4 linked regions of the Drosophila melanogaster genome follow. The protein of the gene in region 1 interacts with the protein of each later gene in a pairwise test. Each region holds a gene or a part of one and is shown on either strand. Other genes may lie near its edges. The genes, in order: ara, CG15800, B-H1 and pdm2.

Region 1 (7,981 bases):
GGTCATTTTGAACACCTTATAGAGATACGAACCGCTGATAAAACCCCACAACTCACACACACTCGCAGAGGTGGGGCTTCCGAGAAACCCCCCCAATCATTGAAGAAAATATTTCATTTCGAACACAAAACGCAGACCCTAAAGCTGACAGTGTTTATCTCAAAACATTTCGCCAATGAATTAGTTTATTGCGCTGCTCAAATGATAAGATAGTTTTCATTGATGGATCTAAAGAATGTTCCAAGCAAATGATTTTGGTAACTTATTTCGTGCTTTTATATTACGAGATTTAAACACTTGAATACTACTGTTTTTTTTTTCAATTTTTAAATATATATAAAGCTCCGATTATTGAAAAGTAAAAAAAAAAACCAAAGAAAAGTGAAGACTTTATAAACAGATTCTCTTAAGTACCAACACTTTGTCCGTATTACTTAGAAAATTGAGAAGTAATTTAATAATTATCTAAACTATCCTTGAACAGCGCCATAAACTAGATGTCAACTAGCTGCGAGGATGGAAACCTGCCCGGGAATGGGATGACTCGCCTCCAATCGACGCGGCACAGGAAACGCACGTCCATGTATAATGGCTAATTTTCTGCATCATAATGCCGAGTAAGTCATGCTAACTGCCGTACTGGAAACTTCATAAATATTGATGTCCGGCAATGTTGTTTACCCATCCCCCAGATCAATGTACCATTTTGCAGGCCATCCTCCTACTGAAGACACAAAATCCGCCTGAATCGCTGGGTAATTGCGAATTTAATTCGAAAAATCGACAGTAGGCACCCATTACAAGATGCATCGATAACATGTAAGCGAATATGGTGTTAACACACAATCAATGCCACTGGCAGGAAAGCGCAGAAGCTGGACGGGATTCATAATCCCGCGGCGATTAAGTTCCCTTAATCAATGGAGTGGATTGGATCGGATGGGAGTGCAGTTCGGGATTCGCGAACTTCGCTGCAATGGCGGCCAGATCAATTACCCAGCAAATCGATTCCAAGTGCGACGGATCGGCAACGGGGGCAGCCTGATGTGATGTCCTCCATCTTTTACACAGTGGAACCTCGCCTATGGCATGCGCCACTCACTTGGCAATTAATATGCAAAATGTGCCAAGCCCACGAAGCCAGTTCTCTTGGGGGCATTTTAAAAAATGCCAGAAATCAATGAGGGTGTGGCAGCCGACGCCTATAGGTCCCAGCACCAGACCAGACCGACTTTTTCGGACCCATCCACAAGATCGATGTGGATATGGGATGCATGGAATTGATGCAGATGGAGATGGAGTCGGGCAACATGCTGGCGAAGGCTTCTGAAAATTACCGCGGGCAATCTGCAAAACGAGCGGACTGCTTCAATTTCCCCACAGTCTGCAATCTGCAAACTGAAGTCTGGAAGTTTGAAGTCTGGAAGTCTTGAAGTTTGAAGTCTGGAAGTCTTAAGGTCTGGAATCTGAAGACTTTAGTCTTCTGGGCGAAAATATCGACGCACCGAACCCATAATTAAGTTGAGTGCTCCGCCCGTTGGACAGCTACAAATTGATCGAAGTGCCCAGCAAAAGGTCATAATATCTGGGCAGCAACAATTTTAGCCCGGCTAACACGGCTTCTGTGGCCGAATTCGCGGTCAAAACTTAAATGCAGCCAGCAGAATGCATAATTATTCCGCGTCATTAACATAATCTGACAATAGAACCATCTTCTTCGCCCGAAAATCGCAGCACATGCATATTATTTTATAATTATCAGATGCGATCGATTCGATTCGAGATTGATCCCCTCGAAATTCAGCAGGTGAGTGATCTACTAGAAGGTCGCTCAAGTCCGATCATAATTAATAAAGGAAAAACATATTTTTTTTTGAGTCGTGCTGAAACGCACAAATAATAGAATTTCGAGGCCAAGACCGCTGACTATATATAGGGACATCGAAAAAAAAAATGTGAAAACTCACAGCCATTTATCAAAATTTTACAAATGAATGATTCAGTTGTTTTACTTTTTTGACTTTTTTTTTTGTATTCCACCGTGCCGCGTGATTTTAATTAGTAAAAAGCAAATACATTTCGCTCGATTCTGTATGGGAATGTTCAGCGATCGAAAGGAGGCAACGCGTTCCCAGAGTTTCTCGGCAAACGCAACAATATGAGAATTATGACAACTAATCTGATAGGCGACACCATATAGGGAGCTCTATGCGCCTGCCAGATTCCTCAGCTCCTTGAGCGAATGCATTATTCATGAGGTAGAGGACTCCATTCCAGCAGTACCTTTCCGCTCTCGGAGGAAGCGCCAGTGGTCCAGTGGGCCATGTGAATTGGCCACGTCTGCGGATGGAACGTGGAACTTTCGTTGTTCGCAGTTGGAGGATGCAGACGACGACGACGACTGGCAGGCGACAGTGCGCAGATAAGATCTGCTGGCCATGTGTGTGCCCAGTGAGCAGTAACCAGTAACCAGTAACCAGTACCCAATGCCCAATGCCAGATACCCAACTTCTGAGTTGCACTGGCTTTGGAAATTTCTGTGAATCGCAAACGCAGCGATCTAATCGCAGCTTGTATCTCGTGGGTCCACCAAAGCGGCCAGGCTACCGCGATTCTGCATCCGAGTGCCTCCCCCGACAATCTCCTCCAGATGACCAAGTTGATAGCACCGGACTATAAGCGCCACTTGGAGCCGCACTCCGCTCATTCTCCTCACTCCCCAAAACGAAGCCAATGTAAAGTAGATCAGAGTGGAGCCAAGTCATTGGTCCATCGATCGTGTTCGTTGGGATTCGGATGCTATCCTATCTGCCATCTCCAGATTCAATGGATGCTCCTCACGTAGCCAGGAGGGCATTCCCAGAGCCTGCCCTCAGCTGTCACTTTACGGTTATGAATTTTATGATTTACGATCGCCGCAATTGAATTTTATTGACTTTTCAACAGTTTCACCTGAGCGTGCCTCAATCGGCACCTCCCATCGTCTTGGCCTTCTGATTGCCAAGGCTTTTCCCTTTTTTCTTTTCCTTTTTCTTTAGTTTTTTTTTTTTTTTTTTGCTTTCGTTTTCGACTTTAGTTAATTGGGCTCGTGTGGTCCGAAATGGGAAAGACGCCAGAGTTCTTTGGAGGAAGAACCAGGCAATTGGTAACCAAGTATTATGGCCTGGGAAATTAAAGTTTAGCCCAGGCAAACGCAATCAATAGGAAATTTAATTTACTCTAGGCCTTTCGAAAGCTTCTACAACTTTTGTAATTTATCACAATATTTTACAAATATTTTAGTTGCACCTGCAAGCCGCGCAATTTTGTGCAACATCTTTAAAACGCCGAATCGTTTTTTGTGTGAATTTTGAAGGTTGACAAAAACGCCTGATTCCTCGGAGTGGCTTTTTCTCAGGCCATTTATCAGCCATCTGATTTATTATGGTTTTTTGCTGGCCTGCCACCAATTTACTGTCATAAACATGGAAAAAGTTTGCCTCAAGCAGCTGTTTTTGCTGCTTAGTGAAAAGTCCAAAAGCGCTACAATCAAAGACTTTTAGCGGTTTTGCCCTATAGTGGGTCCTCAAGATCAAATAATCGGATAACTTTGACTGGAGTCGGTGGAAGTACTCAGATGAAAGTTGGTGGTAAGGATTGCTTAAAAAACACACAAATAGAATTTAAACCCAACCAAGCTTTTTTAGGAAAAAAATTTTAGAAAAAATATTCAGATAACGGGTTCAGTTTTAATGATGGAACGCACTCCAGAAAAGATAGTTGTGATTATAAATAGAAAAATTAAATATGTATATGAAAAAATATGATTTTACAACGCTTTTTGCTTGTGACCTCTGTTTTTAATACCTCCAAACATAAAAATTATGAATCTTTAAGGCAATCATAATTACAATAATCAGTTGATTATATCAGTCGTATGAATAATATTGTATCTAAATAGGTTCCCATATCTGCAGTTAATAAACATTTTCATTCCTCTAGTTATCTTGAGATCTCTTGCTACTTAATGAATATGAATAGCCATCATATAGTATATACATCTAGATCAAATTTAGTTAATTAGAGGACCCACCTGCGAGGCCGACGGAAAGCCTCCGTATCCGAATTGTGTGTAGGCAGCCATTTCGCTATATGACTATACGACTATATAAGACCTAGTCTTAAGATACTCTCTCTCTCTCTCTCTCTCTCTCTCTCGCTCGTGGGCAGTCTGCTGAAGGATATACGGTGAAGCTGCTACATCAAATGATGTGCTTATCGGGGGTTTAACAGCTCAGTTTCGATTGGGTCTGTTCACAGTGGGCACTGGCGATAACGACCATAACGACATTGGGCCAACCGAAAGTATCTCGTGGATTTGTTTGGTATTTGCAGTTGCAGCTGTCACTTGTGGTGGATTTTTGTTTATATATATTTTATTTTTTTTTCTGGCTAACAGCACTCGCAAAACGCGGCGGCAACGAAAAATCGACGAAATATCGACGGCAAAAACGCGGCGCTTCAGCACACGCTCCCTTTCAGATGTGCACCTTATAACGTTCGAACACGAACTGGTTGCGAATGCCGTTGCTGTTGGCCGTGTTGCTGCTGCTGTTGCTGTTGTTGTTGCTGCGCTGTTGGGGCGCATTCCGCTGCAGTTGGCGCGGAAGCGGGACAACAATATGCTGCCTCCCCCCATCGAAAGAGAAACGGAATGCCGCTCGCCTTGGAGCGAGCAACAAGAATAACGGAGTCGGCAGACTGGAAGTGTAAGCACTCTAGAGCAACGCCCACCGTTCTCCGGTTTTGTCTGGTGTTGGTGGTGGCATTTGGCCGGTCGCTCTCTCCGCAATTCCAATCCGATTCCCCGCCAGTGACTCGTATTCGCGGCTCACTGGAAGTGAGGCCAGCGCAACCACCAATCGTAGGGCTGCATGAGCTTCGGCTGGCTGATTTAATGGACAGGTGCGAGGTCGCCAGGCGAAAGAAAGCAAAGAAAAGAAAATACAAATGAAATGAGCGGATGGTGAAGGGAGAGGAAGTGGGTAGGGAGCGGGACGCATTTTCACAACTGTCGATGGTCTCTTGTTTTACCCACAATTCCCGGGCAACGCCCATTTGTTTTGTTTGGCTAGTCATTTGTTTGTTTACTTTTCACAATTGCGCGCCCATCGACTGGAAGTGCGCCACCAGCGATCGCCAGCTGGAAGTGGCAACAAAGTGCTGCGATGGCCAAAAGTGGCGACACAAAAGCGTTAATAAGATCAGCAAATTCCAAGACACTCGCACTGTATTTATCGTCTGTCATTATCTTTATCGCTGCATTGCACTTTAGTTAACTCCCATTATCGATCCTCACTAATTAATCTCTCCTAATTCGGGTTTAAATGAAACATTTCCAGCGATCTTTGTTTAAATATCATTCCACTTGGATACCAGTTACTTAAATTATCAACAAGATTTTAACTTTTTATGGAAGGAATTAATATCCTTACTCAAACAGGCAATCATACCATTAATTCTTGGGATTTTTAAATATCAACCAGATTTTTACTTAGCTTAGGTTATGTTATTAGTAATCATAACATATATTAACTTTGAGACATTTTAAATTTTTTATAAAATGTGTATTGCATTTTTTTACTGCAATTGCTTTTTAACAGACACAGATCATTTAAGTATTTTCAACATTTGCGATACTTTGGCGAACAATATTTATGGCAATTAAAATACTTTAATTATCTAACTAAACTAATTGTTATGCTACTTAAATATGCTAGCCAATTTAATTTCGCCACTTAAAATATCTTCTAGAACATAAGCAATTTTAATTGCAATTAAATAGCACTTGACGTGTATCCGAAAAACAAGAAAAGCCTGACCTAATTTTCTTTTTGATAAATTGCATGCAACGTATGTTTCTGCACTATGATACATTAATTGAAAAAAAAAATTGATTTTTCTAAGATATTTTTAGAGATAACTTAAACCTCGTGTGTTTTGCAGAAAGTTCGGTCTTTTAAGAAATCATAAAAAATATATATTATACTGTCAAATTTAGGGCAAGGAATGGCCCACTTTTTCACTTACACCATATTTATTATGAACTTTTAACTATATTTATAAAATTCCATAAGTTTAGTGTGTAAAAGGTACCCGCATATTGCACATGAGCCCGTGAAAATGCTGGATTTGGAAAAAAGTTTTTGCTATTAATGCGCACTAACATATTTGGACATCCGCTTTACGATCTATTTTTTACGATTACGATTCTCCGGCAGGATGAATTCTCCGGTCGAGGACACGCATTCCGGAAATGGAGAGTCCGCCGTGGATGTGATGCGATGTGATGGGGGAGATGAGGTAAACCTCAAATGTTTTTGCGGGTGCCGCGGATGTTGGCAAGCTTGTTTGCAGCGTGTTTTTGTTTGTTCTCCTGTTCTTCTCTTCTTCTTTTTTTTGTCGTTTGTTTATTTTTATGATAATGTAATAAAAGCAAATTAACCTATAAAACCGAAAAAGTGCGACTTACACGACGGAATTGCGCCATAAGGTCTGGGCGTGTCCTCACCTCGCTCCGCATAAGATATATGTGTGTGGATGAAACGATCCACGTGGTGTGGCTGGAAGTGTGGGTAGAATAGAGCAGTATGGAGTGGCTATGGTGAGTGGATATGGGTGGTACTGGGGGTGGTGGCACCCCACCCACCGCGGCCCAGCAGCGCCGGAAAATGAGAGCAGCGTGTTAGCTGAAAGCAACAAATGACCAAAGCTGTTGCCCCCACCAAAACCCAAATGTGAATTAATTCCAAGGGAAGCCAAGTCATGACGAGGCCAAAGGCAAAACCCAGCGGCAGTCGCACACTTGGCCAAAATCGGGGATCACTTACAGGAACCTCGATAAAGGTGTATAGAATTTATTGGTAAACATTAGTAAGTTTGCTTTTAAAATTGGAAAAATAATAGATTAAATATGAAAAACTAAAGGTTGTTTATAAATTTCATACATAATTTATAAATATATAATGCATATTTTTCAATGTACATATTATTTAATTATGCCATAAAATAATTAAGCTATATAAAGTGTGCTTCTAAAAGTTCGTAATATAAGTATTAAAAATTGAGCCTATTCCTAATATTTCTAAGGTAGTTTTCTTAGCAAAAGGCCTTTTAAAAATATTTATTCTAAATGGGAGCACGTATTTTTTTCGAGTGCAGCGGCGGCAACAAGAGCGTAGAGTCCGTTCCAAGTGCCCCTCCGGGTGTTAAGTACAATATTTGCTGTGTTGCGCGTTTTACGAGTGGCGCTTTTGCAATCGCCGGACGAAAAGGGAAGGACGCAAGAGGGGGTGGCCGGGGGTCTGTGGGCGGAGTGGCGGCGGGGGGCGTGGCAGCGACGGGCCAAATGCAATCAATCAATGGGTCAGCATGATGGTACACACCAGACGACGACGAGTGGCAACCACATGGGGCGTTTCCATTTGCGGCAGCCACACACTGACCACCCTCTGAGTTCGAGAATCGAGTGGCAAGAATTCTCGAAAAAGTCCTCGTCGATCCGAGACTGCGGACTGAAATCGCACAATTGGCAGTTGCCACTTTCGGTGGCAAGAAGTGCACTTCACTTACAAATCAGTCGACGGCACTTAAAACCTATTTTGACAATTGAGCTGTCCGCCAGTCAAACTGACAGCGCGCACTTTTCACGCCACTCGATAAAACATACATATGTATATACACAAATATATATATATTTCGATCAAGGATATAGCAGTTTTGGTGGTGGCATTTCCTCCACCGTTTTATGCCGTTTTAATTGCAACATCTGTCACTGCGGTTTATGCATATATCAATTTCAAAATAGCCGGCAAATGGCAACGGCAATGAATCCATTCCATTCCACACCAGAACCCAAAACTCAAACCCAAACGCCGTGGAAAATGAAATATATATTTTTATTTTTATTATATTCGCCGGCAAAAACTGTCACAACACACAC
Region 2 (6,123 bases), on another chromosome or scaffold:
TGCAAATCTCCCAGTTAAACGACCACACCCAGACAGCAATCAACACTTAGCTCCGCGGCCCTTGTGGCCAATTAATCGCAATTAAAAACAAATGAGCGAGAAAAAACTACGATCGGCAATTACGAATTATGCAAAAAAGACGGCATCCAATGAACAAGATCACCAGCGGCGATTAAAGAACCAGGGTTGCCAAAGGCCCACAGCCGGAAAATCCGTTTAGAGTCCCCAAATGGCCCAAACATTATGTAAATCATTGATAGGCATCACAAATTACAGCTCAAAAGGTGTTGAAAGCCAGCGGTAAGTTTTCCACAAAATTCGGCAGACAATTGCTAGCACTTAATTACAGATAATCAGCTGGCCAGCTGCGAGAATAATTACGTCTTTAATTTTAAGAAGCTATTATTCGTGTCTATAATATTTAGGTAATCCTTCTACTCTTGACTTTAAGTGTTATTTTAGAAGGCGCAAATTATTTTTGGTAATCAATTATTATTTATATCATTTTATATAATTTTGTCTGTCTTCCTTATTGAAGTGACACCCATTCTCCATATTGCTCAAATGGTTCTCTGCATTCACTATCATATTTTCCCACAAATTGCAGTTCATTAGAAACTCGAGAACCAAAATCAACTGCGTCTAGATATCCGTCGAAGCAAATCCAGCCCTAGCTCGAGTTGTCATTCGATTCGATCGCCATTAAGCTGCTGTTTACCCAGCTATTTGTCCAAGCTAAAGTTTGATTTTATTTTCGGTTTTCGCCGAGTGCAATGACGGATGTTGTGAAATTTGCGCTGTTTGTAATTTGTATGGCTAGCTGTGTTGCTGCTGCTTGATTTGGATTTGGATTTTACTGGGGCTGCTGGTGCTGCTGGTGCTGCTGCGCGGGCAATTACTGAAATTGTGCGAGATTACTCATACGCCCGGTGTGCGCGCTACGCTATAACCGGCATTGCGACGACTTTAGCTTCGATGGCGGCGGCGGCGACCAAGTGCAATCAGAGTCAAGTCAAAGTAAAAGGTGTAGCCGCCATATTAACGCAAAAAGTGTGCTTCAAATTGGCTCTGGTTGAGGCCAATACACTGTTTATGGCCAACACTGTTTGTTGTGCAATTGTTTTCCCCGCGTTTTTATCAGCCGGTCAAAGTCAACAGCGGCAGACGCTCGAAAGAGTGTCAATCGACCTTTCGCGCAGTCAGTCAAATACAAAGAAATGATTTTCAAGATTTGTTTGGCACTTCGTTTGGGCTTTTGCAAATGGATGGATGGCAGCGGCAGCCAGCAAATTGCAAACTCGTCGGCGTTCGCCTCTTTTCAATCCATTTCCTTGGATATTTGGGTGTGTTGACCTTGTCGCCTCGGCTGACAGGCGGCGGAAATTAGCAACCGCTTCTGTCGGCGTTAAATTTTCTGGTTTTAACTTCTCTCGCTTTTGGAAATTTTGTATTTATGCCAGCGATTAACAAAGTGTGAAAAGTTCAGGGTGTTACGAAACCTCCGGAATGAGCTGCGTCTAATCGGAATGGCAAATTTGAGTGATTTTTTTTTGTCTGGCAATTGGGTGAATATGGCGGATCGAATGCTAAAAATATTCACTTCAATGGCAATTTCGTTTAAAGTAAGACTAAAGTGGAATTGATTTAATACACCCATTTTATTTATCATCTTTTAAAGAATCTCTGCAATATCTACCTTTATCGCTTGGATTATCAATTAAGATCTTTGCATTTTTGTACGCTGTCTATGCGTTTCCATTGCGATTGCATAATCTCTTAAACAACCGACAATTACTCATTCACTGACAATCGACCGATTTTCCTGTAGCTCCACGCACACAAGTAACTATATATATAAAAACAGCGGGGAGAACGTGACCCGAGAACCCGAACTCAAAAATGATTAAATAGAAATAAAGCAAATCTCAAACCGTGACACAGAGCAGGCAGCTGTAGACAAAAAGCGAAAGAGCCGATCAGTAGCTAAACAAAAAATAAATAAATAAATAACAAAATACGAGTCCAGGAAACAACAACAAATCGTGCGGCTAACCATTCTGGATTGCACAATTAAAGGCTTAATTTATTTGGCCGGCAATTGATAGGCCGCAAACATTTAGATATCTCATATTCCTTTGCATTTCTGACAGCACATAAAGCAAAAATGCAAACCTACAAAACTGCCAACTGCCGACTGCTGACTCACTCGAATCCGAATCGATATTCTGGTGGTGTTTTGCATGAACCAACCTCAGTTCGTTTTTTACATCACTCTTTTCATGCTCGGCTGGGATTTGAAGGGCCTCGTCAAAGTTGTTGTTACTTGGGCTGTTTTAGTCGCTTTTGTTGTTGCTGGTGTAGCGTGTCAACTTTAATTGCAGTGGAAAACGGAGACGAAGTCGTTTATGGGGCACTTTTTTATGCCAGCACTTTGGCAAGGCTAGGGGGTCGATGTCTCCGCCAACACGAACTTGCTCCAAAATCGGAACCCAAAATATCATGGTCTATATTTAAGTGTTTCCAAAAAAAAAAAGTCAAGGGAACGTGAAAATAAAATGTGGGTTCTCGTGCTAAATTTGAATATTTCATTGTAATAGGTTACGAAAACGGAAAGTTACTACTATTATTATTAATATTTTTTATTCTTTGAATTTCAGCAGTTTTGAATACAGCCAAGAGACAATTTTAGCCCAAACGTTCCTTTTACAAATCACCCTATTCCTTTTGAATTTGCTCAATGAAATGATCCTGGAATCTTGGGATCTTCTCCACGTAACCGCTGAACTGCGTCTCCGGCTCTCGGCTGCTGAGGAAGACGAGTTTCTGGGCACAGAGCTTGTAGAGCCAAGGGATGTCCAAGTAGTTGCAGCCCTCCATGATTTTGCAAATGCTATCGATTTCCACGCGCAGGAACTCCTTGTCCCAATCGGAGATCTGCAGCTCAATCTCCTCGGCCGGAAGAGGATCTTTGCTGTCCACCCAGGCGGGCTCTTCGTGTTTCTCATGGTACTCAGCCCACAGCAAGATCTTCAGCAGGACATTGCTGTGTATACCGTGCAGCGGCAGGACGAAGTCCTCATCCTCTGGGACCTGGCCAACGCGGCACATCTCCCGGATCACCAAGGATTTCTCGAGCAGAGCCAGATTTACGCTTATCGTACGGCCATCCCTTGTCTCGAATCGCACCATTCTTGAACCGAATTTCGAATAACAAATTAAGAGCTTCGGATCAGAAAGTCAGGGCCTACTGCTTGCAATCAATACGAACTAAACCACAAACTTGTGCCTACTCTACCTCTGGAAATTGTTCAAATTGGAGTTCAATATCGAAATAAACCACCATCTGCTGTAATCACAAAGTTTCCAAGCGACCAACCAAAGCCATAACCTCCGCAACAAAGGCAGTGACAATGAAAGAGAAAAGTGTAAAGAAGGCGGCTAGCAAATGGCCAACGACAGCAGAATAATAAAATAAAAGTTAGTAAACAAACGGAGGGAGGGACAGTCTGAAATTCACTTGAAATAATTACAAGAACTTTTTACGTCCGACCTTGGCCATAATTTTGCTGGCCAAGCTTTTTCTCGAAAACGAAAAGCAAAAAAAAAACTCGAGACAAAAGCTGTGCTGTGTGTCAATGAGATACGTACCCATACAGGCGCACTCAGAAACCTGGCCCACAATGCAAACACACAATGCCAATGTTTTATTTCTAACGACGACTCTCTTCGGCACTGCGCTCTGCTCTGTTTTGTAATTTAATTAATATACAAAAAATGTTTTGTATTTCTCGAAATGCTAATTACGCACAATGCGAATGACAATGAAACCGCCGACTGGCGGCCATTTGTTGTTCGTTTTTTTTTTTTTTTGCCCCTTTTTATCCGTTAACAGCTGGCTTTATGGCATTATAAGAGCCCAAAGGTTATTTATATCGCACCGATTGATTGATGAGTTCTTGCACTTGGCATTGATCATATCTGCGGGTACTTACATCTGGCAGGCCCTGGCATATTGTGCTGCTGACCAGGAGGAGCGCTGTGAAAAGGACCAGTGGTGAGGACATCTTACTGCTTCGGCCGCCTAGGGTGCTAATATAATCCTTAAAAATGCTTAAACTGCAAAGAGACGAAGGGGAAACGAAAATTAAATAAATTAAATATTAATTATTATTAGCCACATCCCATTTGCCAATATATTCACGCAATGGGCCAGCATGCAAAGTATTTATTTCCCAAATAATGGTCTTACCACCTCACATGACCATTAGTTCCCTGCCCACAAACCCGTCCTGGTCATGCTCGAATGGACAGCACTGTGTTTGCAACGCGAGTACAGTTAGCATCTGTTGTTGCAACTCAAACGCCGCTTGCTGCTTCAATTAATATTTACTTTTAGTTTTGTAGAAAGAAACCTAGTTTTCTGGCCCGCTGGCCGAGTAATTAATTATTGCATAAGGCCAAGAAGCAGCCTCGAGGCATAAAACAATCTTGTGCTGCCCTGTTGATTGCTGTTTGTGCTGCCGTTGCAGTTGCAGTTGCACATCCGCCCGCCATCGAATGCGGCTAATTGTCAATAATGATGCAGCGATGCGTGGCGAGGGGGTAACAGCATCCATCCAACCTTTTGACAAACCAACCAAGAAAACAAACAGAACTGACCAGCGGCAACAAAGGCAGCAACAGCAGCAGCAGCAGCAACAGCCGCTTCACGTTGCCGTGTCGCAACTTCTCAGCGACATTTACGACAAATTGCATGACATTTTATATCCCAAAGGTTTTGCACAATTTGCATGCAACGTGCTGCAAGATCCGAACTGCCGTGGCCCACTTCGAGTGAAAGAAAGTCTCGCCGGCGAATCGATCATCATCAATCGTAATGAAATGTTCGGCTGAGCAATTGCCAAATGTGGGTGGTACCCAGCCCAAGGCCAATGCCCCAAGACACTTGCTCATGGATTGGCGAAAATTGTAGGTAAGCGCAAGGAAAGTTCACTTTTTCCTATTTCAGCCGGCGGGCAGGCAAAAATGAGAAAATGGAATCGATATTTTGAGTAAACATGGAAAGCGCTTCAAAACAAAAGACTTAGAACACGAACTTGAGCTTAGAAGCATGACAAGGAAGCTTGCAAGCCACGTTCAAAGATGTGTAGCTACAAATAAGTGTAAAATCTTCCAAATAATATGAAAACCATTTTGGCCAAAGGTCAACCGACTTTTGCCACCATGTAATGGCCGTCAGAAGTCCATAAGAAAAGCATCAATGCTAACAGAAAGTGCCAGTTGGCAACCTTCGCGGCGAGACTTTCACCCAAAAGCAAAAGTGAATCAAGAGCATTGAAAAGTTTTAACTGAATCGCAACTAATGTGCATTGGCTGCACGCCAAATTATCAGGAAATTCATGCGCACATTTAACAGCGATGGTGATAAAGTAAAAAACCAAAACGTCACGGCTTTTAGGTGACCGCGAACAATCTGGTTGATATTCCGATTCACATATTACAATACACCACACCAAATCAGTTGGAATAGAGAAACAGTTATGAGGCAAGATGGCAACTCGATTTGGTCTATCATTTGCATAATTAAGGCCGATTAGGGTCGAATCATTTGCCATATGTGCGCATGCATAAATCTAAATCTGAGCCAGCTCAAGGTTACGGCTATGGCAAAACTGTTTTTTGACTTGAACTCGGCTTGCATAATTCCCGTTCATATTTTTTATATAATTACGGGCCAATGAAAAAGTATATAGAAAACAAAACAAAAAGATACGCATCATCAAATGTCAACCGAACAGCTTCAAACAGAAGCTGGCCGAAAAGTGTTTGGAAATGGAAGTGGGAATGGAACTGTGCCAAAAGCCCCCGAAAGCCGCCAAAAACCGAAAAGCAAGTTGCATTGTCAGCTTCCGCATAATTATGCCGCCTGGCCGAATATGTTTTTCTTTCCCCTTCCCCCCCCCCCTCGTTTTTTGTGGGTCTTGTGCCTTTTACCATAAAGTCAGCGTCTGTTTCGGTTTATGGGAATTTTTTGTGTGCTATTGCTGGCTGCTTTTAACTTTTGCTTTCTTAATGATTTGCTGACACAACCCGCCGAGTGCGACTCTGTTGTAAGCTCGTTGT
Region 3 (10,697 bases), on another chromosome or scaffold:
TCAGATATCTTATGTATGATGAATTTACAAGAATAGTTAGCAATTGGTTATATAAACAAAGCTACATTTAAATTAGCGCTGTATATGTGTATGTGTTTAAAAGAACTTACAAGATATTGGCCTTAATGAAAAGATTTTCCATCAACCTCATGAAAACAGATAAGTTTTTATAGTTACCCCTCCTCAAAGGGATTACTCTTTTCATCCAGATTGAGATATCAAATCAAACCAAATCAGATCAGAGTGCGATCGCAGCGAGGTGTTGATTAGTCGACCAGCCTAAGCTGAGCCATAAAAAGTGAGTGAAGTCCGAATCCGGACAGGTGCCAAAAGGGGGAGGTCCAATCGAAGTCGAATTTCAGTCCCTTTTTCCCGCTTTGAGATCCTATGGTATCCAGATCGAAATCCTCCATTGGATTTATAGCTGCAGGCAGGCAGTAAAATTTAAATAGCATCCATTTAGTGGGGCGACATCAATTTTTAAAACGAGCGCCGCTCCGGAAAATGAAAAGGGGAAAAGGGGGACACAGAGGGGCATCGGAATTGGAATCAGGGCTTATGTTTATCCTGCAGTTGTGTTGCTATTGTTGCTGTTGTAGCTGGCATGCTGACTGATCTGGAGCAGCGATAAATTGCCGTGCGGCATGGGGTTAAGCAGCTGGTGGGGGTTAAAGGGGTTACGGGGGTTACGGGGCAGGAGAACACCTTTGTTGGCCACGTTGTTGACAAATCATTTGGCAAGAACGTTGGCCATCGACGGCACACGCGACCAACAAAAACAAGAGCCAAATAAAACAGGGCAAACAAACTTAAAACAAGTCAACACGTTGGGTAACGAAGGCTTAAATACCCTTTGACTTTGGTAAATCGTTTGATAGATAAAAACATTTATGATTAAAGCATTTAAAAATTGTTCCATAGTAAATGAGAATATTTTAAGTAAAATATTTGTTACAGCTCTTTCTAAAAAAACTGTAATTTGTGAAAATGAAACTGTTCTTCAATTTATTGATTTAGGAAATATATATTATATATTGCGCAAATATTATGATTTAGGATATTATTAAAGTAGACAACCTTGCAGCAAGAGGGTATTGGCTAATATAAAGATAAAAGCCCTGGCAAGTCAGTCGATCTTGAGGCAGAGGACAGGGCCAGTGGTTCATCGGTCCAGCGAGAACCTTTGTCACCTCCGGACGGACCCATTTACCCCCACGTTGCAAGATCGCTGGATGTGGATGTGGATCTGGATCTGGATGTCGAGGGTTCGGCGAGGGCAGCACATTAAAAGTAAATTAACTTATCAGCGACAACGATCAGTTATTTTATTACGTTTGTCCACGCAGTAACACGAACATTATAATATCAAAGATGCCGATTAAGATTCCACAGGCCCCGCAGGCTCACCACCACTCTGCGGAAACAGATCAGAAATGGAAATGGACGTACTTTTGGATCAGCTTGGACAGGAGTTGGGTATCGCTGGTGCTGCATGTGGGTTGGTGTGGCTCAAATTGGAGGCACATATGAGGAAGATATATAACAAATGAAATCTTATGAATTTGTATATGGGCACATTTTCAAAATGAAAGAAGGAACTGAAAAAGAATACCTGATGTATTTTTCTGCATATTATATTATCTTGTTGTGCCTCTTATTCTAAAAACTTTGCATCTCCATTGATGCAGAATTCTTTTGCGGATATTTGCAGTGCAAACAGTCCTACTCAATGAGTGGACATTAGGCCAATTAAGGCTACTTTCAGATGGCAAGATACGCAGATAGGTAGATCGAAAGATAGATATATGGATATGTGGATAGGTATCCGAGCGATAGAAGGCTGCACATGGACAACTGTTAGCCAGTTCGTAGAAGAGGCCGGAAAAACGCTGCCAACTGTCCAAGTTCGCTGGCAACTGTCCAGTAATCGAGGGGCAAAGGGGGTGTGGCATTGGGACAACTGCGCATTGCGGTTTCTGCATTTGTACATTTCTTTTTCATAATTTCTCGCATGTGCACTGAGAAAAAAGGGGGTATCCTTTCGGTCCTATGTCTCTGTCTTATGTCTTTGTCTTTATTTTTTGGTTTTTTCAGTGCCAAATTCTGGGCTTACTTCATTTAAATATTATATTTTATAACCAATTCGTTTTTAACTTAATATACTAAACTAAACTTCTCTCAGTGCTGACATTGCTGGCCGAGTGCAATTATTTTAAGCATTCAATTGGCATTGGCAGTTCGAACTCGAATCGACCGCAGACCGCAGGATATACGACTGGGCTGGCAATTATATGCATTTAAGTGCAATAACCGTCATCAGGACGAAGGACTCGGTTGACTTTTCCTCGCATTTGATGCTCCGGCAGACGCTAATTATTTTAATGCGCTCCGCAATTGAAGCGCGCGCTTCAGTCCGCTTTACCCCCGCCCCCGGCGCCCTAATTTCCCCGCCACTAATGACCTTCGCAGGTCACCTGACCTTTTCCCCCTTCCGCTCATGGTTCTCTCCAGGTTGGTTCAGTTCCTCGACCGGAATCAATATCAATCAAACGGAAACCGCCGCTCTCGACAAATTGCATTTGTTCATCCCGCTCCGCTTCCCTTCCTGCAATTAGTCCTGGACTAACATGTGGCCACCGAAACAACCCAAAGGTGAGCCTAACCACCGGGCTATTGGCGTGAAATTTTAATTGCCATCTTGTTGTCTGAGAGCGTGGAATCGAAAAAAGCGACGCCCAAATGTCGGGCGTATAAGGTTTTTCGACTCAAAAATCGAACAATTTGGTGTTAATTGAAGTTCTAATATATAAAGCAAACACATTTAAGGAGCTCTTAAAATATGTCAAGCCAAATGGGACTAAGATTATTTTTAATAAATCAATGATAAAACATGATTGATAAAATTGTTTACTGGCTTGACGTTATTCGCAGATTTCTAAGCGAATATATATAAAAGTATTATAATATTCTTATGTGATGGGAAAGACAGATGTTTTGACATTTCGGAATTGAAAAGTTTTGGTAATTTATGTCTTAATGGTCTAATTGTTAAAGCAGTGAACATAAAGCAGAGTTAATATTTTTGGAATAATATTTTGTTCACAAAGAAGAGTACTCTTCACATAGTAATGCAGTAGCATCGTCTCCATCTCTCAGATCCAACTAACTTCCTCGTAGCGCCATTTTAGGCCTTTTTCAAGGCCCTGAAGAGCTCAAGAGCGTTTGACCGACATTTGGTGCTATAAAAACCGAGAAACCGGGGAGAGACTTTATTTCACCACGCCGTGGTGGATTCACCACGGTGCCGGCAACATGGCGCTGCGCGAGAGAGTGACAGCCGATGAGACGGCGAGAGCCGTGGAAGCGAGAGGCAGCGAAAGCGAGCGACTGGCCATCCCCCTCCGGCCTTCGGTAGCATATGCGGCCCAACCACCGCCTATGACAAAGTGGCAAAATTGTTGCCACAGCCGCCGCTCGAGCCTCAGCCGCAGTCGGCGTCGGCAGCAGCGTTGGCAGCGGCGGATCGGGCAGGTGCGTTTCATAAACGTTCAGTCTCGTTTTGGCAGCCAAGCCGCTCACGACGTCGCTGGGTGAAAAGTTGAGATAAGGCCAAGAAAACAAAAAAACAAACAAATAGAAGACAACTTGACATCTATAGGAAACTCCAGTGAATGTGAATTTTTTTAGTGAAGTGTTGAAAGCAAATATAATTCGTATAAATAATCGGCAAGAAAAGGGAGAAAGAGTGAAACCCCCTAAGTCCTATGAAAGACTCGATGAGCATACTCACCCAAACGCCCAGCGAGCCAAACGCAGCGCATCCCCAGCTGCACCACCACCTCAGTACGCTGCAGCAGCAGCACCACCAGCACCACCTCCACTACGGCCTGCAGCCACCGGCGGTGGCTCACAGCATCCATAGCACCACCACCATGTCCTCCGGCGGCAGCACCACCACCGCCTCGGGCATCGGTAAGCCCAATCGGTCCCGCTTCATGATCAACGACATTCTGGCGGGCAGTGCGGCGGCCGCTTTCTACAAGCAGCAGCAGCATCACCAGCAGTTGCACCACCACAACAACAACAACAATTCGGGCTCCAGCGGCGGCAGCAGTCCCGCTCACAGCAACAACAACAACAACATTAATGGCGATAACTGTGAGGCATCCAATGTTGCTGGCGTCGGTGTGCTGCCATCTGCCCTGCACCACCCACAACCACATCCGCCCACGCATCCGCACACACATCCGCATGCGCTAATGCATCCGCACGGCAAGCTGGGGCACTTTCCACCCACCGCCGGCGGCAATGGGTTAAACGTGGCTCAATATGCGGCGGCCATGCAACAGCACTATGCCGCTGCTGCTGCCGCGGCTGCTGCGCGCAACAATGCAGCTGCTGCTGCAGCCGCCGCTGCTGCCGCTGCAGCTGCTGGTGTAGCCGCACCACCCGTCGACGGGGGAGTGGATGGCGGGGTGGGGCTGGCGCCACCGGCGGGCGGCGATCTGGACGACAGCAGCGATTACCACGAGGAGAACGAGGACTGCGACAGCGGCAACATGGACGATCACAGCGTTTGTAGCAATGGTGAGGTGAGCCTCTGTACTATGCGGGGGGTGGGGTGTTGGCGGCATTAGAGGGTGGTGGGTCAGTATAGCATTCTCGCTAATTCTCGAAAATGCATTTTCAAGCAGGAATTTTCTTCATTCAAAACAAGTTCGCAATGTTTTATAAACAAATATTGGGTCGAAATAGAACCAATTATCAACAAATCTGATTAATGTTGAGCCTTATGATAAAAAATATTCAATATTCAAATTATCCAAGTCATTTTAAAATAAAGCTATCACTGCCTGGTGCTAAGCTTATAAAGTACATATCAGATATTTTTACAACTCTACGACCACTTGCCTTTTTTTTTAAACAGTTGTCCAGATTGTTTTGTAAAGCTAGACACAAAACATGCAGATCTGATAAGTTTAATATTTTTTAATTTGAACGCAAATTTTTTATTAATGATATTGATATTGCGTTTTAGTAACATATTCCCTTTAGGTGATATTAAATATATTTGCACTTAACCAATTCTCAAATGTAGTGAGTGTAAAGGCAGTCGTAAAATAAAATTACTCAAATTCCCCTTTAAATCGTGTTAATGGTTCTGTTGTGAAACGCATTTCATCATAGCCAATTGAAAAAGTAATTCAATTAGGTAAAAAATAAGTAAGTCCGTTGTGCAGCAGTCAAGTTCGTTGCCTAAGTCTTTTGTATTGAAGCGTGCGCCTGAAATGGGGGCTAAAGTGTGGAGCGCGGGGGTGGGGCGGCGGCCCTCGTCGATGTCGCTTTGCAAAACAAACTGTAAAAATTATTGCATGACCATTTTACATTCTCGTTCTTGTTGCTTCTATTTGTTGTGGTTTTAGTTGAAAAAAAAAAATACTTTTTCACGCTTTGTTTCCGTCATTGCGAAGCTTCTAAAGTCCCCTTGCCTCCTCGCCCCTCCTCAAACTTGGGGGCATGCACCTGCGAATCTGAGAGCTATTATGGCAGAATGGAGGCGTGGCTCGCAGTGGGCGGGGGGTTGGCGGAAGAAGAGGATCTGCCTGAAATGCAACAACAAAATGCAGTTTAAAACTGCCGCAGCCGCAGAAAAAATCTCAAATAATTACACACATCGCACTCACTGTTCCCCGCTTCGCCGCTCGCTCTGCTTCCTCCTCCTATCTCACGCACCTGCCCCCTTCGCAATCATTTAATTGTGGAAATTGTTATAAAAATGCATTTAACCCGCTTTAATAGACGCCCCATGGCAATGGCAGCCGGGCAGCAGCAAACGAAAAAATGTTGCAGTCTGTTTGCTCATCTCATCGCCACTCGGTTCGTTTTACTTCGCTTTTGGCCAGCTTCTCATGCGCTCCACTCCATCTGGGCCCTGTTTTGTGCCATTTATTGCCGCAATTTCCTGTTGCCAATTGCACTTTTATAAACGGTAGTCGCGTCGGCCAGCTCTTTTGGGATGACAGCCAGCGGGCAGGGAAGGCGGCAATCCGTCAATTCATTGGAATTTCACAATTGCGATCAGCTTCAGTTACAAAAAAACCAAAATGAATATTGATCACTAGATTTTATTTATAAATTTAATGAAAAATCATAATTATAATAATAAAATCAGATAGGAAAGTTAACTTTTAAAGCTTATATTTGAATTATAAATTTGTAAAAAAAAAAACAAATTAGGTTTTTTTTTAACAACACTGTCGCCCAATTTTATTTGGCACATAATTCTTGATTTTTGGTTTTGCCTTTTTTTTAACGCTCCACAAATTATCGCCCGCAAATCGATAATTCAGCAAGTCGGCGCCAACATTCGTGAGTAATTTTCTTTAATTGCAAATTAATTTTATTCAATTGCGGCATTATCGCTCATTTATCGCTGCCATTAATCATTTATCGTTTACGTTTTATATGGTAAACAACTTTCGCCTTGGCGGCAAAATAAGCTCTTGATTAGCGATGATTAATAGAAATAATTAGCAATGCATCTTTATTTGCTTCATATTTCAAAGTTCAATTAGAGGCATAGCTGGATTTTCAATAAATAAAATAATATTGACTTCTTGGTATCTCATTATCAATAACAAAGATTGAGTCCACTTATTTAATGGATCGTGCAAAATTAAAATCTTGAAAAGATTTTATTATTGTTTGTCTGCTTCCTGATAAATTTATATGCTTAAAACAACAAAAATATGCTAAGATTGTTAATTTCCCCGTTTCTAGGCCTTATTAGACCAAATTTAAATGCGGCACTTGGCAAGTTTTCGCTTTAAATAATTTAACGCTTGAGAGTTTACTTAGCCCGCGTCAACCCCTTAACCCCCTCGTGCCCATGGGCCAAAAACTCGCTCTCGCTTATCGGGTAACCACCATCGGTTGAATTTACATAAATTTTATGTACTAAATGGCTGGCCAGAAAAGGTGGAAAAGCGGCCTTTTCTGGCCAAGAACACTTTTCGCAAAAAGGGGTGCTTTGGCCTGGTCAGCTTGCCTATCTCTCTTGCGGCTTTTTGTGGCAAGTTTAGACATTTTGCGGCACGTTTTTATTACACTCACACACACACGAACCGCTTTGTGAGCGGAAGCGGCAATTGCGTGGCCATAAACGAGCCTCTAACTGTATCTGCAACTGTTTTAATAGATCGCACAGAGATCTAAATCGAATTAGCCTTATGGGCATACCAAATCACCAACAAATAGTGATTTTCGGTAAACCATCTCGGCAAATGTTAAAAACTAGTTTTTAGGCATTTAAAGTTTTATAGAAATGTAACTAATATACCTTCGTTTTAAGTTTAAAAGGGGGAAGTGAATATTATAGTATGTATTATAAACAAACTTCATATTTTATGATAATAAAAAGTTTTGGAGTTTTACGCATATCCTACTTTGCCAAATGTGGTATTAGATTAGACATAATGGACTTTTTGCCCTTAGTTTCTTAATATTTCTAAAATTGAAATTCTCTTTTCTTTCAGGCGGTAAAGATGACGATGGCAACAGTGTCAAGAGCGGCTCCACCAGCGACATGAGCGGTCTGAGCAAGAAGCAGCGAAAGGCGCGTACCGCCTTCACGGATCACCAGCTGCAGACGCTCGAGAAGTCCTTCGAGCGGCAGAAGTACCTTAGCGTTCAGGAGCGCCAGGAGCTGGCCCACAAGTTGGATCTGAGCGATTGCCAGGTGAAAACTTGGTACCAAAACCGCAGGTGGGTTTTAACTTTAATGATTTTTTAATTTGTATTAGTTTTCAAAGATGAACTTAAGAAAATACAATAAAATCTATACACATATATTCTTATTGAAAGTATACTAAAGTTTGGTATCTATTATCATTTTGCAGAACCAAATGGAAGCGCCAAACAGCAGTGGGCCTGGAACTCCTCGCAGAGGCTGGAAACTTCGCGGCCTTTCAGCGACTTTACGGCGGATCGCCTTACCTGGGCGCCTGGCCGTATGCGGCCGCTGCCGGCGCCGCCCACGGAGCCACGCCCCACACGAACATAGACATCTATTACCGTCAAGCGGCCGCTGCGGCCGCCATGCAGAAGCCACTGCCCTACAACCTATACGCCGGCGTTCCGTCCGTCGGAGTGGGCGTCGGGGTGGGCGTGGGTCCGGCACCCTTCTCCCACCTGTCCGCCTCCAGTTCGCTGTCCTCGCTGAGCAGCTACTATCAGAGTGCCGCTGCGGCTGCCTCCGCTGCCAATCCGGGCGGACCGCATCCGGTAGCGCCACCACCTTCGGTGGGCGGAGGATCTCCGCCCAGTGGCCTGGTCAAACCGATTCCGGCCCATTCCGCATCCGCCTCGCCGCCACCAAGGCCACCATCGACGCCGAGTCCAACGCTGAATCCGGGCAGTCCGCCAGGACGATCCGTTGACAGCTGTTCCCAGTCGGACGACGAGGATCAGATCCAGGTGTGAGCGGTACGCCGGAGTGCGGCGATTGTGTGCGTGTGCTAATCATCGGGTTTGGGCGGTCTCAAAAGTGCGATTTCCAAGGGGATACATAAACTACATAGTTGGTTTCACGAATTTAAGTTACATATCACTCATTTTGTAAATCAGTCGGATCGATGATTTTATTGTTCCATAAAACATAAAAGTTTACATGGCATTTAGGTTATTTAGATGAATCAGCAGTTGCATTATTCGTGCACCATATCACAACATCGTTTTTATGGTTCAAACTTTAGTACAAAGGTATTTTGTTTAAATTTAACCAAAATATATTTGGAGGCATTTATAAACTTACGATCTAAACAAATTATTGTTTAAGGTCATAAAAAGCAGCACAAATGAGTTCAGTATTCAAAACAAAATCATGGAACCGAAAATTTGAATGGAACATGCATATTAAAAAAAAAAACATTTGTCAAAGATCAATATCCACAAGAATTCGCGTTTTTGAATCTCCCCTTAAGCCCCGCTTGTGTGTGTGTGTGCCTGCGTGTGTATATATATATTAATATCCCTGTGAATCTGTGTGTGTGCTTAATTTATTTGATTTGCTCTTAGTAACTTATTCGAAATGTTTTTTAAAGAGTTTTTTTTTTTCAATATAAGATAATGAAGTAAAATTAAGCAAATATTTATTTAAATGTTGTAAAAACTAGCAGCCAAAAAAGCAAAATAATTTTGTATAGTTAAGCCTAACCACGAAATGTATTATCGAATAAACAATTTTTTTTTTGTCGGTAGCCTAGACCTATAAACGTTGTAACTGTAAAATGTAAAGTACATTTAACCGCATATTTTTTTGTCTAAATAAAAAATAACAGAATGTGAGAATAGAGCAATCGTTCTGCGGGATTTCGTTGGGAGTGGGGGAGGTTGGACGTGTCCCGGGGCAATTAATATAATGACCAACAGAAACAATTTACAAACGATGTGTGCGGGGAGGGGTGGCGGGAAAGGGGGTTTTATGACGACGTGCGAGCCAACCCCTAATGATAATAATTGCATGCAAAATGCATTTAACCGCAATTAGTGCATTTATTAGGCCAAAAGTTGATATATTGAATAACTGCCACCGTTGGCCACCAGTTACCAGCTACCAGCTACCCGCTACCAGTTACCTACTGCCAGTTGCCAGTTACCAGTTGGCCAAAACCAGGGGCGTCCCTCGCCAAGGGGACTCGAGTTCGAGCAGTTATGGCCATGTTTGGCATTGCGTGCTCGCATGCAAGCGGCGCTGCAGGCGAAGGCCCAGCAAACGATCCTTGAAGTCCGGCCAAGGACCAAGGATGCACCAGCTGACTGAATCCAAGGGGCTCCCCGCACATCCCAGATGGAGCCCACGGATTACGGGGCCGTCAAGGTGGGCCAATTCTAGATTTGAAAAGCATCAGGGGGCTCAATAATGAGGGACCATTAAATTTCTACTACAATACTTTCTACTTTAAACATAAAATTATGTTTTCTTTCCCATACATACTGTTGTATTATTATTATTGAGTAAATAATCAAAATGTTAAACAGTAGACACAAACCTTTGAGGGGACTAAGGAAATCTTATATATTAATCTAAATATATATGTTATGAATGTTCCCCCTCATTTGAAGCCACTCTTTTTGATACATAAAATATTATCATTTTCATATATAGATGCATTTAGTCTCAAAAACCTAGGTATCCTTTTTGATAGGGTATTCCGGAGTGGACCTTATTTCTAGGGCACTCCAATACACCCCTGCACTGCGTTTTTGCTGGCAGCACGCGTGTTCTGGGTTTCGAGTTTCTTGTGTTTGTGTTTTTGCGCCTTCATCGGCAAATTGGCCGCAATGTTTAAATTGCAGTTGGCCTAAAACAAAAGAGACGCTTGGCAGGACAATGAAATGACAACAAAAACACGACGGTGGCCAGCGGGCAACCGTTCATTAAAGACAAATGACACAAAACACAAACTGCACGTACCGTTCGCTCGATCTCTTTCCCTCCGCTATCGCCGTCCCACTCAATTAAACACGACCGTTGTTTCAGTTTTCAGCTTTCAGCTTATTCAGATGCTTGATAATTATGGCCAGCATTATAAAGGAAAGCCAATTTGCAAGCATCAGAACTAATAAGAAAATGCGCTTAACTAAGGAATGTACTACTTTTTATGATCATTTTTATCACACATCCTGATGCCCAGATT
Region 4 (7,875 bases), on another chromosome or scaffold:
GTTTGACAACCCTTTCAATCTTCATAAATGTTCGCACTCGTGGCACCACACTCTGTTGCAATATTAGCCCGGGTCTGGGTCCCTTGTGTCGCATCCTTTTTCTCGGCTCTATCAAGATGACGACGACCCCTTTGCCAATAAAAAATGAAATCTGTTTCGATGCATAAAAAATTGAAAATCCCATAAGCATGCGTTTGGCACGAGTTTTTCTTTGGCATACGGCGCTTCGCCCACTTTTTGAGGCCTGTTTTTTTTTCGGGCCGAAGACCATGAAAAATGGCCGTGCTCTTGTTAACACGTTGTAAATACCTCATTTTTCACTTAATGGGTTTTTAAATACACATATGCATTTGTGTGGATGCTGGGCGGTGGGCTGAAAAGGGTTAACTCCTTTATGGGGTTTTATTGACTCAGGCGGGGCTTGCAAGGTGGATAACTTACAGTCGTTTAAATGGAGACTGAGAATAGAAAATATTATAATATACTATATTTAAGCACTAAAATGCATTATTTTGATTAAGGGGTCCAAAGGTAGTGTTAAAATGAGCGGTGGAGTATAATATATACATTTTAGATTTCTTAAGTGCTACAATTAATAGAATAAATGAAGATATTTAGCTCTTAATAACGTGTACCATCTCCTAAAGGCTTTGGCAACTCGTAAAAAACATTTACAACATTTTCATAATTTAAGAATACCTATGCATTTGCTTATAATATGGCCTTATAATATATGGCCATTCCGATGAGAAAAAGGTCAACTCACCTGAATTGGCTGGTGCTTGCTGGTGGTTCATGGGATGGCAGCTAGGCCTCTCTGGCGGCGACTCCATGAATTCCTGCTTGACTTGTATCTGCGGCAGGCGTAGCAATCCCTCAAAAGCCCGCTCGCTGGTGGGTGGAACTGGTGGGCAGTTGTCTTTAGGGTTAAAGCCATTCAAATGGCCAACGTTAGCGGCATAATTAGCCGGCAGTTGCAGTTGATCGTCGTTCAGAGTGGCTGAAACGCCTTGGCCAGTAATTTGAACATTAACACCTGCTGCCGATGTTGCAGCAGCAAGGCAATGAGTTGCTGCTGTCGGCGAAGTCAGCAACATGGTTGCTGTTGCTGCTGCTGCTGCAGTTGCGGCTGCTTTTGCTGTTGCTGCTGCTGCTGCTGTCTCTGTTGCTGTTGTGCTCAAGTGTTGATGATGGGAATTGTTGGCAAGTGTTGTTGCCAGCAGTAATGGCATAGTTGTTGCTGCTGCTGCTGATGCTGCTGCTCTTGTTGCCGCTGTTGCGTTGCAGTTCGTCAGCAGCAAATTGCGTCGCTTTGATTTATGGCCAACTCAACTGCTCCTTGCTGCCTGTGGCGACTTGTTTGCCGCTCCGGTTGCTGCCTCAGATTATGATATTGACCCATGGACCGCTGGCGATATGTATTCCTCCTTCTGCCTCCTTTGCTGCCTGCAAATGGGTTGATAATTAAAAGTGTCTTCTTCGGCTGAAAGCCTAATTTGCTGTTAACTGCACTTTAAAAAGCTGTTATTAAATACATAGAGCGCTGTGATCTTTACGACTCGATAGCGGAAGTAATTGATTTTTCCCTTAAAATAACTGACCCATCCACATTCCTGTACACGTGACTTTTCACGTTACAGGTGGAAACAGTGGATTTGTTTGAAATCGAACGGATGTTTGTATACCTTATAACTGAGATTAATTAGTTTAGTTTATTAACTGGCTCATGAGTATATTGCATTGTCAGCCCATTCTGCGATTACAAGTTTGTATTTTGATAAAAAAATATATAAGGGTAAAAGTTTAAAAGTTAATATTCTCTTCTAAAAGGTAAATGTAAAGTAAGTTACTGATTAGAAGTTTTACTGTACCTAGCATTGAATGAAAATGTTAATATGTGAGAAACTATATCATTCAGTTAAATAATTACAGAAATTCCATACCACTCGAAAGTAAACATGTCATAAAAGTACATATCGCAATTTATATAGTTTAAATGTTTGCTCTTTTAAATTCGTTTATTGAGCAGTCCAAACATTTCTCTAAATTTTCCCATGGCCTGTCGAATCAGCTCCCACAAGTGAAAAGTGGTTGTATACAACTTTACAGCAGTAGACACCATAAAAGGCACTAAAACCTAAACTTTGTATTATTATGCAAACAAAAAATGGGAGAATGAAAATGGGCACATTTACCAAATGTGGTTTGAAACGAAATTGTTGTAAATTGAAAACAAATTGAAGTCAAATGAGATAAGGAGTGGGTGGGTGGGTGTCGAAAAATCACGGCAAAAGGCGATGAAATCAAAGGAAATAGAAATGGGAAATTAAACTACAAGCGCAACGATCAAATGCCCCGAACAACAAGTCAACTTGGCCAGATAAGATACGGTGCTGAAAAGTGCAAGTGCGTTTATGGAAATGGTTATTTACATACATTACCAAACGGGTTTATGTACATATGAGCCACGAAGAGGCGGGTCGGGGCAACTAACATTAATGGCACTTGTAAACAAATCAATTGAGTTGTCAGTATCGACGGCAAATTGGCCGCAACCAAAGTGCCACACGAAGATTGTTTATCAATTTTGCCAGTCGGTAAATTATGTTCTTTGCATGTCAGCAACCAATTGCCAGGAATCGATATATCTGCCGGTATGATCAAAGCGAACGCCGACTAAATGCAGTCACTTATTCCTCGGTGCTACTTTCAATAATTCCCAATCGGCACGGTAATTCCTTATTGGGCCGACAATATCGGGGCTTTCGCTATTTTTGTTTAACTTCATCTTGTTTTAAAATTAAACACAATTGCTTACTCCAATTGGAAACGTATCGCCGATCATATAATACCGAACATTGCCATTGTGTTTGTCTTCAATTTGGAATTTGTGTTTTCATAATTTTCTATTGGGTGTACACGGTTCGGTTGTAAAGATACGAGGGAACTTAGTTCGATGATGTGATTTGCCTGACTTTCGGTTGAGAAATTGTTTGTCGTGATTATCGATCGAATCATTGCCAGAAGTGGAATTGTAAAAAACCCATAAAAATATATATGTGGCACATCTAAGATAGGGTACACAAATCACAGAAGGTTTATGAAAAATATATGGAATGGAACAAATTTAGAAAAAGTTATTAAACTATCCTTTAAATCAAATACTATATTCAATATATATATATATATATTGCCTCATTTTGAAGATAATTGCTTGTTATTAATACATTTTGCATCTTAATTTGATCTAACCTTAAGATTTTCCATTGTTAAAGATTTGACCAGAACATGGTCACAATTTTGTTATGATTAGCTAAAGCCCGACCAAGATCTCTATGATGGATTCAGTTCGCCCGTCCAACTACCATAGTCAGCCATATCGGGACACTTGTTGGCCCTCAAACACATATGGCCAATTAAGGACGCTGAAATACGCGCAGACACTTGGGAAAGCTCATTAGGAATCTGACAGGCCAGAAGAAACAGTTCTGCCCTCTCTCTCTCTCTTGCGGCATCTGTATCATCCATCTGGCTGATCCATCGATCGCATTGAGTGTGGGCGTTACAAGACAAGCTCCTTGACACACTCAGTGGGTACAAAAGAAAAAAAAGAGTTAAACTCACTTGGGCTGGAAGATGGCGCACCTCCTTACTGGTTTTTCCTCTACTGGTTTTCGCCTGCTGTCACGAATTATAATTTAATTGTTTACTTTGCCACACTTTTATAAATTGTAATTGCCAACGAGAATGGCGACAGCTTCACGCCCTTTCTGCATTTTCTGTGGGCCGTCGAGGTGAGGTGAGGTGATCTCTGTCTTTTGGGACAATTCTCCGAGACACGCTTTTTGATTGACTTCCGACAAACGACTGACTTAAAAAAACGCGCAAGGAGATATGGGCAAAAAGTAAAAAGTGAAAAAAAAGCAGACTAAAGAAAAGAGAAAGAGCAAAAAGAAGCAAAGTTCGCGACGACTTCCGACGACGTCCGACGTATCCACAAAATGTCAAGCGAGTACAAAAAATACTTTTTTTTTATAGAAGATGTTGGAGAGAGTGAGTGAGTGTGAGTGTGCCAGTGTATTGGTCTGTTTGCGATGTGCCTCTGTGTGTGTGTGTGTGTCTGTGGGGGTGGGGAAAGGGAGCCATAAAACAGGTGGAGGGGGTGGTGCGTGGGTGTTTTGGGGCGTTTGACTTCGTTTTTCTTTCTCTTGCTTCTTTTTTTTTACAGGAGGTTTTAAAATGAAAAGCTTGTATTGTGTGGGTGGAAAATAGTACTGCATATGTGTGTGTGAGTGTTCTATATATGTATATATGGGTGGGTGGCTCTTATCGGATTCCGAATTATGTATGTATTGACTGCCGCTGCTTCTGTTCGTTGAGGGAAGAAATAATATGGGGGCTCCTAAGTTGATTTGTAGTTTAGAGCGGCATGAAAATTTCCTCTTGAAGGGAATTGAGAAGGAGAAGAGGAGTCAGGCTCATACGAGTAACCGAATAAGGGTATACAAGTAATTCAGTTTGCAAAATATAATAAAATATATTAAAATTCTTATTGATTCAAGTACTGTTTCTCATCATATGATTCATTATTTATTCGGCACAAGATACAAGATTTTTTGATTTTTTTATGGCCGCTTATATACCAAACCGTTTTCTTTCTTTTATAAAAATAATAAGTTTTATAAAATAAAACATATAATACTAAAGCAGATGATTTTATGGGCAAAACAGATTTAATTCCTTTCAAAATCAATGTTCCGACGGCATTGCACTTGCCAGAAATCACAACACAACTCGCGTTACGCATACGCCCCGTGGACAAGTCGGAATATCAGCGAATGAAAAATGAAAAAAATTGACATTGCAATGATGGCAGAACCGAGAATTATTCGCCGTGCTGTCAAAATGCGAATGTCAAGGCAAAAAACGAACCAAATGCAGACAGATAGCCAACAGAATCCGCTGAACGGCGGCAAAAGGCAAAAAGCGATAAACGCATAAATTAAAATAATTACAAGAGGCGTCCTCAGATTATTGTTGTTGCTGTCACGCACACACAGCTAGTTGAAAAAATAAACAAGAAAAGTCGCGAGGACGACAACCGACAATCGGCCAACGGAGTGGCAACTGAAAAACTGCAATTGAATGCAACTTGACCAGGCCAAAGCATCTAGAAGAAGAGCAGTACTAGCTGAATAAATGGAAGAAGAAGCACCACAAGCAACTGTAGTAACCATACACTTACAAAAATTATATAATATATATTCCAGTCATTTTCTATTGTACCATTTTAATATTTAACAGAAATAAACCTTAAATTCTATATTTTATCTTAACAAATATTCACAAACACGTCTTGGTATAACTTAATTTGGTTTTTATTGTTACTCTAAATAGAATATATTATAATTTATACATTTATATATAAAGGTTCTAAGCGTATTTTAAATACATTTCTTTTACAATTATAAGTAAATTTATAATGTTAATAGGCTTTTAATGAAATTGTATTATAACCAATATATAAAACTTTTCTAAGTGTAGAATCAGTTGATTTTTCTCGGCAACTTGGGATCCACATTGTTGCAACAACGTAGTTGTTGCCGCTGTTGTTGCTGTTGATTTTATTCAAAATGGTTTGTTTATGCCTGAACAGAAAGAGAACGCAAGAGAGAGAAAGTGCGGAGGGAGAGGTAGAAAATCTTGGGGAAATATATCCAACAAGCGCGCTCTCTCCCGCACAAACACACTCACCCAAAGTGGGCAGCCGGCAGCCAATCGGCATGGAGCTTTGGCGCTCTCTTGCGGCGCATGCTCGCTCTTCGTGGGGAGCTCTCTCCATTTCGCCGTTGGCCATTGTGTGTGCATGTGCGCGAATTCGCCGCGGCGTCCAGATGCTGCGGGTGAAAAAAAGAGAGCGAGAGGGCTTTTACCTTTTGACTGCTAATTTCCGTTCATTAAAGTTGGCAGTAGCTTGGCTCGCTCACTATTCTATATGTTCCACTCCCCCATGCCGCCCCCCCTCAGTAGTGAGTCCTTAAAGATATTTCGCCTTGGCCGCAGCTTTAATTTCATTGATTAGCGCCGAGGAAATTCCCTTCTTGGCCCTTTTATTTTTGGTTTGTCACTTCTATTCACTTGTCTGCCCGTCTGCTTGTGTTTTGGTTCCTCTGCAGCCTCCTTTACATCCTCTTTTCCACTATTCTTGTTTTGTAAGCATTTAAGTTGTCGCTGTTTCGAGATGCTTAAATCCAACTAATCGATGGGTTTCGTCTGAAAATGGTTTAGTTTGTGGGGGTAGGTTCTGAAGAGTATGACCCAACTATTCACGGAGTAACTATTTGGTAATCAAAAGATAGTTATGAAATAAAGAAGTTGGGGAAGAGTAAAACTGATGCGAGCGTACTTTTTGAAGATTTTACTTGCAGCACTTGTGTGTACAATAGGTGTACGTTCAAAAAACCTATATAAGGATAATTGGTAAATAATAAAAACTAAAAAATTCTTCTTATAAGCAGTAAAAATGTAATTTTCTTTATTGATATGAAAAAAATATTGTTTTTGTAGCTCTAATTCATATGTTCTCAGGTGTTTACTTGAATATTTAAAAAATGTTATTTTTACCATATGCAGAACCTAACTAACACGCTCGAAAAAGTAGACAACCACCTCTTGAACTGTGCCCTTAGTTCTTCCATTTGGTATTCCACATTCCGTATACGCCCCATAAAACTTGAAAAAATCGCCCAGCCCCAAAATTTCATCTGCCTTCCCTGGCTCATTTTTCATATTGAAGGGCGAGCACCTAAGGACCAACCAACAAAGCTAAGCTGACGGGTGCCTAAGTTATGGTTCCTGCCATATCATCCCCGCGTTCTGTGGAAACTTTTTAGAATTTTGCACTTTTCCTTTTTTTTTTGTGTCGTGTGCTCTTACATATCGCAAACATTTCCTGTCTCTTTTTATTTACATTACCCACCGAGGACGAGGCGACATAAAAGTTGAAAGTTTCCCATGATGTTTATGTGTATATAAATGCTTGCGGGCGGTATTTGTTGTATATAGGGAAACAAAGAGGAGAAATATTTTTTTTCCTTTCCTAAGGCTGTATTTCAACGGTATTCTTTTCGTATTTTTCGTTTCGCAGTTGTGACTTTTCATTTTTCATATGCTGACTGCCTCACGAGCAAACACACACATGCAGGCGGCACACACTTACACCAACACGCAAACGGTCCTTTTTCTCTTTCTCTCTGGGGCTCTTAGTTTTCCATCTCCCTTGGCTTTCCTACGTTGCCCAAGTAAATGGCTTTTGCATTGTAAAATGTTGCATACATTTTCCTCTACTTTGCCTTCGACGTGTACATATGTATATTGTACAAATATATAACCACGTATGGCTGGCATTTACCGTTATACACGGGTGAAGCAGGACAAAAGAAGCTCACACACACAAGGCTCGCCCTCTCACTCGCTCACCCAGTCCTGCCCATGGTATATTTTAAAATTTATGAAAAATAATATTTTTCCATCTCTCCACGCTCGCACACACACACACACACACTTGTGTATATATAGGAGCCCTGAAGGAGTCCTGGGCCATAAGGCGCACAATCAGAATACAATGGCTGCCTAGGGCGCCCAGAGGGGGTGGTGCTGTATATACCACCGCCTTGAGGGGGCGGGTAGGTGCAGGGCAATATGGCACAGTTGGCTTCGCTTGCATTTACGTACAGAGTTGCAGGATAGAGGTGCTTAAGACAGGGTTGCCAGTCTAATAGAAAAGAGTAATGGCGGGATGTTTCTATATTTCGTTTTTATATTTGTTATGTATATATATATGAATTTTATAACACATCTTCACCACGACAGTCA

Evidence for each region.
Region 2: the proteins of ara (region 1) and CG15800 interact in a two-hybrid assay, tested with the Drosophila melanogaster proteins (one large-scale study listed by BioGRID).
Region 3: the proteins of ara (region 1) and B-H1 interact in a two-hybrid assay, tested with the Drosophila melanogaster proteins (one large-scale study listed by BioGRID).
Region 4: the proteins of ara (region 1) and pdm2 interact in a two-hybrid assay, tested with the Drosophila melanogaster proteins (one large-scale study listed by BioGRID).

What each region holds. Positions count from the first base shown.
Region 1 is NT_037436.4:12,577,245-12,585,225, reverse strand, and holds the start of ara (araucan), read right to left. Parts: upstream 4,555-7,981; 5' UTR 4,124-4,554; coding exon 4,073-4,123; intron 1-4,072. UniProt on the Drosophila melanogaster protein: Controls proneural and vein forming genes. Positive transcriptional controller of AC-SC (achaete-scute). May act as an activator that interacts with the transcriptional complex assembled on the AC and SC promoters and participates in transcription initiation.
Region 2 is NT_033778.4:23,788,004-23,794,126, forward strand, and holds CG15800 (uncharacterized protein), read right to left. Parts: upstream 3,225-6,123; 5' UTR 3,190-3,224; coding exon 2,716-3,189; 3' UTR 2,611-2,715; downstream 1-2,610. Other genes in the region: sona (sol narae), read right to left, coding at 3,993-4,064.
Region 3 is NC_004354.4:17,393,930-17,404,626, forward strand, and holds B-H1 (BarH1), read left to right. Parts: upstream 1-3,548; 5' UTR 3,549-3,764; coding exon 3,765-4,587; coding exon of another isoform or gene 4,588-4,592; intron 4,593-7,535; coding exon 7,536-7,764; intron 7,765-7,898; coding exon 7,899-8,481; 3' UTR 8,482-9,349; downstream 9,350-10,697. UniProt on the Drosophila melanogaster protein: B-H1 and B-H2 are regulated by members of the wg signaling pathway; wg and dpp. B-H1 and B-H2 are coexpressed and functionally required in R1 and R6 receptor cells and primary pigment cells for normal eye development.
Region 4 is NT_033779.5:12,653,823-12,661,697, reverse strand, and holds the start of pdm2 (POU domain protein 2), read right to left. Parts: upstream 4,534-7,875; 5' UTR 3,625-4,533; intron 1,447-3,624; 5' UTR 1,233-1,446; coding exon 767-1,232; intron 1-766. UniProt on the Drosophila melanogaster protein: DNA-binding regulatory protein implicated in early development. Involved in neuronal cell fate decision. May act as an octamer-dependent activator of transcription.